2 linked regions of the Cricetulus griseus genome follow. The protein of the gene in region 2 interacts with the protein of the main gene of each other region in a pairwise test. Links are inferred from orthologs where the notes say so. Each region holds a gene or a part of one and is shown on either strand. Other genes may lie near its edges.

Region 1 (3,747 bases), on a different chromosome or scaffold from region 2:
GGAAAAAAAAAACAAAAAACAAACAAACAAAAAGAACAATTACAGGCTCAAAAGGCAGCAAAATGCCTAACATAAAGCTCAAAGTGGGTGGGGGGAGTGTGGTCAAATAACTGTATGAGATAGTAACTTTTACTTTCACCAACCCACTTCCCTCCCTCAACAACCAATAGCACCATAAACCAGGCAGCAAACAAGGGCAATAATAATACACAAGTTGAAAAAGGTAGTCCTTATGCAAAGGATTCCTGCCCTCTACCCCATTGGTGAGATGAGTTCTATAACTCTTATGCTATCAATCCACAAGTGTTGAACTGCTATAGCTTGTATTCTTGCCTATCACACTACAGTGTCTAGATAGTACTACATATGGAAAAAAATTATGTTGTAAAAGGCCCAACTGACAGATGTACTTGAAATAACAAAAAGACAATCAGCAGTTTTAAATGCTTCCTACAGCAATTCAGAATGCCTTTTTTCAACTTACATTCTCTGTCAGGAGACATTTTTCTTTGTACAGCAGTGAAACAAATTAACTGTATTTCCCTACCCAATCCTAAACCCCAAATTAACGCCTACTGGAAATATATTATTTAAGGCATTAAATATTCTTTCAGCAATATATTATTTAAGGCTTTAAATATTCTTTCAGCCCTATTTTAATTGTCTTCCTCAACCCATTAAGTGACGCAGAGATGCCTGTGACACATGACCAGAAAGGTATACATTCAAAATTCAAAAATAAAAATTGTAATCCTGCAAGAAAATATGAACTCCAAGTAAGGCCGACAGTCACAAAAAATGTTCACTGCATTTAAAGTAAAAGGAGAAAATCTGCACCTTGTACACCATACCCAAACACATAATTTACATGTAAATCTTAGATCCACGTGCCTCTTTGTTATTATTTTAATGATGCTTTACCCTCCCGGTAGCTTGTTTTTACTATGGAGACAGATGCTGCTATTTACAGCTACATTTTGAAGTTTTTCCTTTCCCTACATTTTACTCAATTTCAACAGACGTTCCTGAATTCTGAGATAAATCATTCAATTTAACAATTTTTTTTAAAGCTACATTTTCAAACTGTCATTTCCAAAGAACCTTAGAAACACACCAATACACCTAACAGCCCCCTTTACAAAACCCGGATTTACAGATTCGTAGAAACGTGGTCAAAGAAGACCTGGGCAGCTCTCCGGAGCAGTCTGCTTGACCATTCCGGGGACCGCCTCATTTCAGTAGAAAGAGCCAGGTCAGCGAGGGCGACCCCGGGGATCCCGGCACTTGCCTGACTTCTCCACCAGCTCTCGAACATCTTTCTTCTCGGGCAATCCGGAGTAGCCCAACCCTCGACACTCCAGAATGGTCTTCAGCTTCTTGAAGCTCAATGCCACGGGATCCACCAGCTGGGTAGCAAAGATGCCAGTCTCATACCACACAATGGCCTCGAAAAACCTGGCCAGGACGAACAGGACCAGGAAATAGAGGAGCAAGAAAAACAGCTTCAGCCACATCTTCGCCCTCTTGGCGTCGCCGGGAGCCGGGACGCCGTGGACTGGGGAGGGGGACGAGTGCAGGACGACGCAGCGCAGCCTGGACGAGGGCAGCTCGGGCGCGCGGAGGTGGCGGTCACCGGCGGGCCATCCCCGCGGGGAGGCAGGTGGATCGCGGCGTGCGTGCGGCGGAGGGGGACCGGCAGGGCACGGGCGCTGTCCCTGCGGTCAACAGCAGAGAAAGGGAGAAGGGGGGACGCTCAAAAGCACCCCACCCATCGAGCAGCGGACGGCTGGGAGCGGACAGGGGCCAACCGGGGGTGACGGCGGCGGCGGGGCCCGAGCCCGCGGCGGCTCCGACAGACTGCGGGCGGGCGCAGAGCGGTTGAGGCCGGGCTGCGTGGTCGCGGTCGGGAAGGCCCGGCGCTCCGCTGGGCCAGGCCCGGGCCCGGCGCGCCCTGAGCGGGGAGGAGCGGCCGCCGCAGTGCCGCGCCGAGCGCCCAGGCTTCAGGGCCCGGCGGCCGCCCAGGCCCGGCAGGGGCTCCAGGTTCCCAGGCGGCGCCTCTGAGGCCGCGGCCCGCGAGGGGGCGTCGCGGCGGCTCCTGCAGAGGACGATCTAGAGCGCGAGGCGACTGTCGTGAAGGGAGAAAAAAAAAAAGCAAATAACGCTAGGCCCGGACGCGGCTCTCCCGGGCGGCTTCCTGTGTCAGCTGCGTCGCTGCGCGGCGCCCAGCCCCGTGCGGATGTGCCGCGCCAACCGCGGCCGCCGTCCGGCCGCCTCCACAGGCCGCAGCCGCCGCCCCCGGAGCACTGGACCCGCTGCAGCCCCGGCCCTAGTCAAGACATAACAACTGACGTCGGCATCGGGGCGGGGCCTCGGGAGGGGCGGGGCCAGAAGCTGCAGGGTGCGGGGGCGGGGGGGAAGAGAGAGGGGCTGCCACCCGCGCTGGGCTGGCGGACGCCTGCTGGGTTAGTGTGCTTCTGGCGTTCCCACCCCTCTTATCCGCAGATGTTTATTCGTTGGTTTCAGTCCCCGGATTGGACATTGGACCCTGCGGCATTGTGCAAGTTTGTGCTGTGTGTGAAAGAAAAAAAAAAAAAAGACAGCTAAGGATCTTCGTTTTTGTTTGTGGTTTATTGTTTTGAGAGAGTCTCATTTTGAAGACCTGGCTGGCCTGGAACCACTTTGTAGACCAAGCTGACCTCAGAACTCGCAGAGATCGCCTGCTCCGTGGCTGGAGTGCTGGGACTGAAGACCTGCTCCACCACGCCCACCCCAAATTGTCAGGATCTGTAAAAATCGGAGCCCGTGTTTTAAGTCGGGTCCCCGAGAACTGGGGACTTTGGGGGAGGGGTGGGGCACAGCTGGCTTGAGGTGCTTGAGGTGAAACTCCAAAAACAGTTCCTTGTCTACCTTTGCGATAGAATGTGTTTTTCACACATGTGTATTGGAGGAGGTTTAGCCAAAAAGAATGTTAGTATAAGACCAAGTTGTGACTAGCTGTTACAATGTCCTCCTCAGGTTGTTAAAAAGTAGACATGGAGACGCTGAGTTGTTAGGTGCCAATAGGTCCAGGTGCAAAGGTCTGTGTGTTTTAGTCAGCCAGAGGAGCTTATATAAAACGAGTTTGGCAGACAAGCACAAGGTACCTGGTTCCGTGTTTATTTAACTCTAGTAGAGCCATATTCTTTGTTTAAATTTCTGTGGCAGTCTTGAGGGAGAGCATAGTTGGATTCATGAACTGAACAAGGCTTCCATGAACCCCTTGATCAGGAAAACAAGCTGGAATTTTAGGGGAAATGTTAGCCAACATGCAAAAACACAAACAACCCTAAACTAGGGGTGGAAATTTTAGGGAGAGATTATAACTCTCAATCCAAGAGCAAATGAGCCATGGAAAGCAAAGAATGGACCATGCACACCTTTAAAATGTACTTAACAAAGACATTTTGGTGTCCAGCTAGCGGAGGAATTAGGAGGAACAGGCCAGGGAGCAGAGGGTGTAGAATGTCCAGCTTCACTCTCCTGTCTTAGCTAGCTTCAAGGTGGTTTTGTTTCCAGATCCGCAGACCATGTAGGCGATTGTATTCAACAGTTCACTTTAACAGGCTTGAGCCTGGAATTTCTGCATCCTTGATTTCATGGTAGCACTGTTACATGGTGGCATTGCTATTCAAATCTTAAACACAGAAATGATATCCCTTGCCCCCTCAAAGGAATGCATTTTAGTAATAATAGATTGACATATAGTCA
Region 2 (3,747 bases):
CTAGCTAGTTTCAATTCAATCCCTAACAGTAGAAAAAGCATATTTTTAACTGATTATAGAACCTACATAATATAAAAATGGATCTAAAAATTATTCTAGGGGGTGTCAGTGGCACACACCTTTAATCCCAGCACTGGGGAGGAAGAGGCAGGAGGATCTCTGGGAGTTCCAGGCCAGCCTGGTCTACAGAGTGAGTTCCAGTACAACCTCCAAAGCTACACAGAGAAACCCTGCTTCGAAAACAAACAAAAAAATTATTCTAATCTCTTAACCTGCCCTATTGATGGGGGAAAAAAAAAAAATCCTTTAAAGCTATAAGTACTGAAGTCAATTAATATTACATAAATTAGAGGTGGGTGCAATAAAATACTGTAAAGATTGTATGTCTCAGCACGAGTTTACCACTACCTTGTTTTAAAATAGCAAAATGGCAACACTGAATATATGCTTAAGCATTGTGTACCAAATGAATTAAACAAGCTCCTCAACATCCTACTTTAAACCATTTCTGTAAATTTATAGCCAATATTCCACAGAATTTATTTTCCCAATCAAGACTTTTGTATTACTGCAGAATATTAATCTTCACAATCAAGCAAAAATCAAAAAAAAAAAAAAAAACTACACCAACTGTTAGGTTCAGTGTGAATTTTAGAGAATTATATTCATTATCAATCTGTGGTATGTTTAGTCCCTAACCAAACAATAAAAACCCGGTGGTCTGGTGGGAAGCAATCATTTTTCAAATGGAATCCTGATTAACATGATCACTAGTGTTCATGTCTCTGTATCAGAATTAAACGAGTCAGGACTTTCCAACGCACGACCTAACAATTAAAATCTACTTTGAAAGAATCTGAGATTCATAATATAGCAGTAAAAGTTTATGTCAAGACTACAGTGCTCGTTGACAATTTATTCTTTCTTCCTAAGAATGTCTTATAAATGGTCTTGTTTTCTAATTTAAGCACCTTTCTGTCATACACCCAACCTCACACCCATTTGTGACTGCCCGAGGGACTAGACAGTGCATCACATCCTTCAAAGGGGCCCTCGATATAATTAGTACAAATCTCGCCCAAAACTTCAGAAGAGTGAACAGTGCTGTAAATTCAAGCTCACTAGATTACAGCAAGCAAAACGAAGCTTCAATATGGGCATATCACTGGCATGGTGAGCAGTGTAGGGTTTTTTTTTTTTTAACTAAATATCCTTCATAAAAACAGATGCCTATCGTGTCTGAAGTCTCAACGCTGTTATGTAAAGACTTCAGAAAATCAAGATACGAGTTTTTTCATGGTTCCATACGTACTCACCAAAACACAGTATTCCTAAAGAGCCTCGAGACCGCTTAGTATACGGAAGGCGCACGAAAACAGAGGCGAACTATTACAGATCATCCCCATAACCGAGATGCTTTGGGCTGAACCAGTGCCTCGGAACAGAAAACAGTTGGCCAAAAAAATAAAGAAAGAAAAGAAAAAAGAGTTTGCCAACCGGAGTAAAATCACTTCGCGGAGATAACCGGCAGCAACGCGGGGAAGCGAACACGGCGGGCAGGACACCCACCCGGGCGCCAAGCCCCCGGCGCCGCCGACCGCGGGCAGCCAGGACGAACATGTGCGGTCGGCGGCTGGACTCGCGGCCCGCGGCCCCGCCCGGTTCTCGGGGCCGGTTCATTCATTCTGCACCCGAGACCGCCGACCAGGAGAAGGGGGCTCCGGGGCGAAGCGGCCAGCCCAGGCCACAACCCACGCCCGGAGTCCAGGCCACGCCGCGATTCCCGCCCGCGGGTGAAGAAAGCCTGGCGAGGCCCGCGCCGGTCCCGCGCCAGACGCCAAGCCCGCAGCCCCGCCCTCCACCCGGCACCGGCACCGGCCTGGCCTCCCGTGCCGCGCGCGGCCTCGCAGCCCGAGAGCCCCCGGCGTCCGGCTTTCAGCGGCGGCCGGAAGTCTCCTCGGCGCCCCCTCCTCAGCGCCCGACTTCCCCGCCGCCGAGGCCAGACCCTTCTCCGCGATGCCTCGGGCCCCTCAGCGGCTGCCGAGTGAAGCGTATGGCCGCGCGGCCCGGCGCGTTGGTGGAGGAGAGCCGAGCGGGAGGCCCGAAGCCCGCCTGGGCGGTTACCTTAATGATCCTGCGGGGCAGCCCGGCCATCTTGTCAGATCCCGAGTTCGGCCTCTGCTCTTGTCTCCGGCTCCGCTCGCCTCACGCACGAGTGGAAGTCCCGGACTCCACTTCCGGGGGACGTCGCCGCGCCCGCCGCCGCTGCCTCCGCCGAGGCCCCTCGGGAAATGTAGTCCCTGCTTGGACGCGGGCTTCGGGCGGCCTTCCGTCCGACCTGATGGCCCCCTCCCCCGCACTCCCCGCCCCAACCCCAGCCGGGGGTGGCGGAAGTGACGCTCCGCGGCGGGGCAGGGACTTGGGGGAGGCGGCGCCAGGCAGCGCCGAGCTGCTTCGCCCGCGGCAGAATCTGCGCGAGACTGGGTGTCCGGCGTCCACGAGTAGCGTACGTGCGACCGACCACGCCTGCGCCGGTGGGCGACGTAACAAAGGCCCGGCCCCCGGCGTAGCTCATTCATTCATTCGTTCCATTTGTTCATTCAATGTTCCCGCATTGCGCGGCGGGCTGACGCTGCGCCGCATCTCCGTCGACCTGGTGATCGGGGGGCTTGTTCCAAACGAGAAGCACTCGATGGCAAAGCTTCTAACTGGGAAACTGGTTGTCAAGGCCCTGACAAATAATTCTAAATGTTTTAATTTCACATAAAAAAAAAAGGGGGGGGGCCTCGCCTGGCGGTGTGGCGCACGCCTTTAATCCCAGCACTTAGGAGGCGGAGGCGGGAGGATCTCTGAGTTCGAGGTCAGCCTGGTCTAAAAAGCAAGTTGCAGGACAGGCTCCAAAGTTACACAGAGAAGCCCTGTCTTGATAAGCAAACAATCAACAAAAAAAGGGAGGGGGGCTCTCCGACCTGTCCCCCACCCCAAAAGGATTTGCAACAAGTAGGGGAGTAATCCCTAAAGGAGTAGGAGTACCTTCAGAGTGAAGGCCCTAAAAGTGGAGGGGTCCCAAAAGGGATTGTTGGGTGTTTTCATTTCTTTTCCTGTTGCTGTGATAAAATATCCTGTAGCACGAATAATAGTTGATATTGATAATAAAAACTCAGAGACAGATATTGAGGTTAAGGCTGAAGATCAGAAAAACAAAGTGGCCAGCCACTAGAGAGTTCTCACCTCTACCAAAGCTCAGAAGGAAGGGGAGATCCTTGTCCTCAGACTGCATTGCTCTCCACCAACCTCTAAATCCAAGCTTTCCTGTCTCCTTCTGCCTTATGATTCCTCTCTCTCCACCTCCCTACAGGTTTTCCTAGGGTGGTGGTGAACGCAGATCCATCTGCCTCTGTCTTCTGGGATTAAAGGTGTGTGCCACCAACTGTCTGGCCTGAATGGCTGTGGCTAGCTTTGCACTCTGATCTTCAAGCAAGCTTTATTAGATCATAAAATATCACCACAATACTCCACAAGGCAACTTAAAGGAAAAGGGGTTAATTTCAGTTCAAAGGGGATAATCACCATAGTTAAGGACAGCTGGTCACATCGAATTTTTCATGCTAGTGCTTACCTCTCTGTTTATACAGCCCAGGTGACAACCACAATTAAGATGGGTGTCCATACATCAATTAAGTCCCCCACAGGCATGCCCAGAGGCTTTTTTCCCTAGGTGTTTCTAGATTCTATCAAGTTAACAAC

Evidence for each region.
Region 1: the proteins of Ube2n (region 2) and Rnf103 interact in a two-hybrid assay, tested with the Homo sapiens proteins (3 studies listed by BioGRID and IntAct). The link is inferred for Cricetulus griseus from reciprocal best matches to the Homo sapiens genes UBE2N and RNF103.

The regions. Positions count from the first base shown.
Region 1 is NC_048601.1:63,196,651-63,200,397, reverse strand, and holds the start of Rnf103 (E3 ubiquitin-protein ligase RNF103), read right to left. Parts: upstream 2,310-3,747; 5' UTR 1,515-2,309; coding exon 1,289-1,514; intron 1-1,288. UniProt on the Homo sapiens protein: Acts as an E2-dependent E3 ubiquitin-protein ligase, probably involved in the ER-associated protein degradation pathway.
Region 2 is NW_023276806.1:161,500,773-161,504,519, reverse strand, and holds the start of Ube2n (ubiquitin-conjugating enzyme E2 N), read right to left. Parts: upstream 2,313-3,747; 5' UTR 2,155-2,312; coding exon 2,125-2,154; intron 1-2,124. UniProt on the Homo sapiens protein: The UBE2V1-UBE2N and UBE2V2-UBE2N heterodimers catalyze the synthesis of non-canonical 'Lys-63'-linked polyubiquitin chains. This type of polyubiquitination does not lead to protein degradation by the proteasome.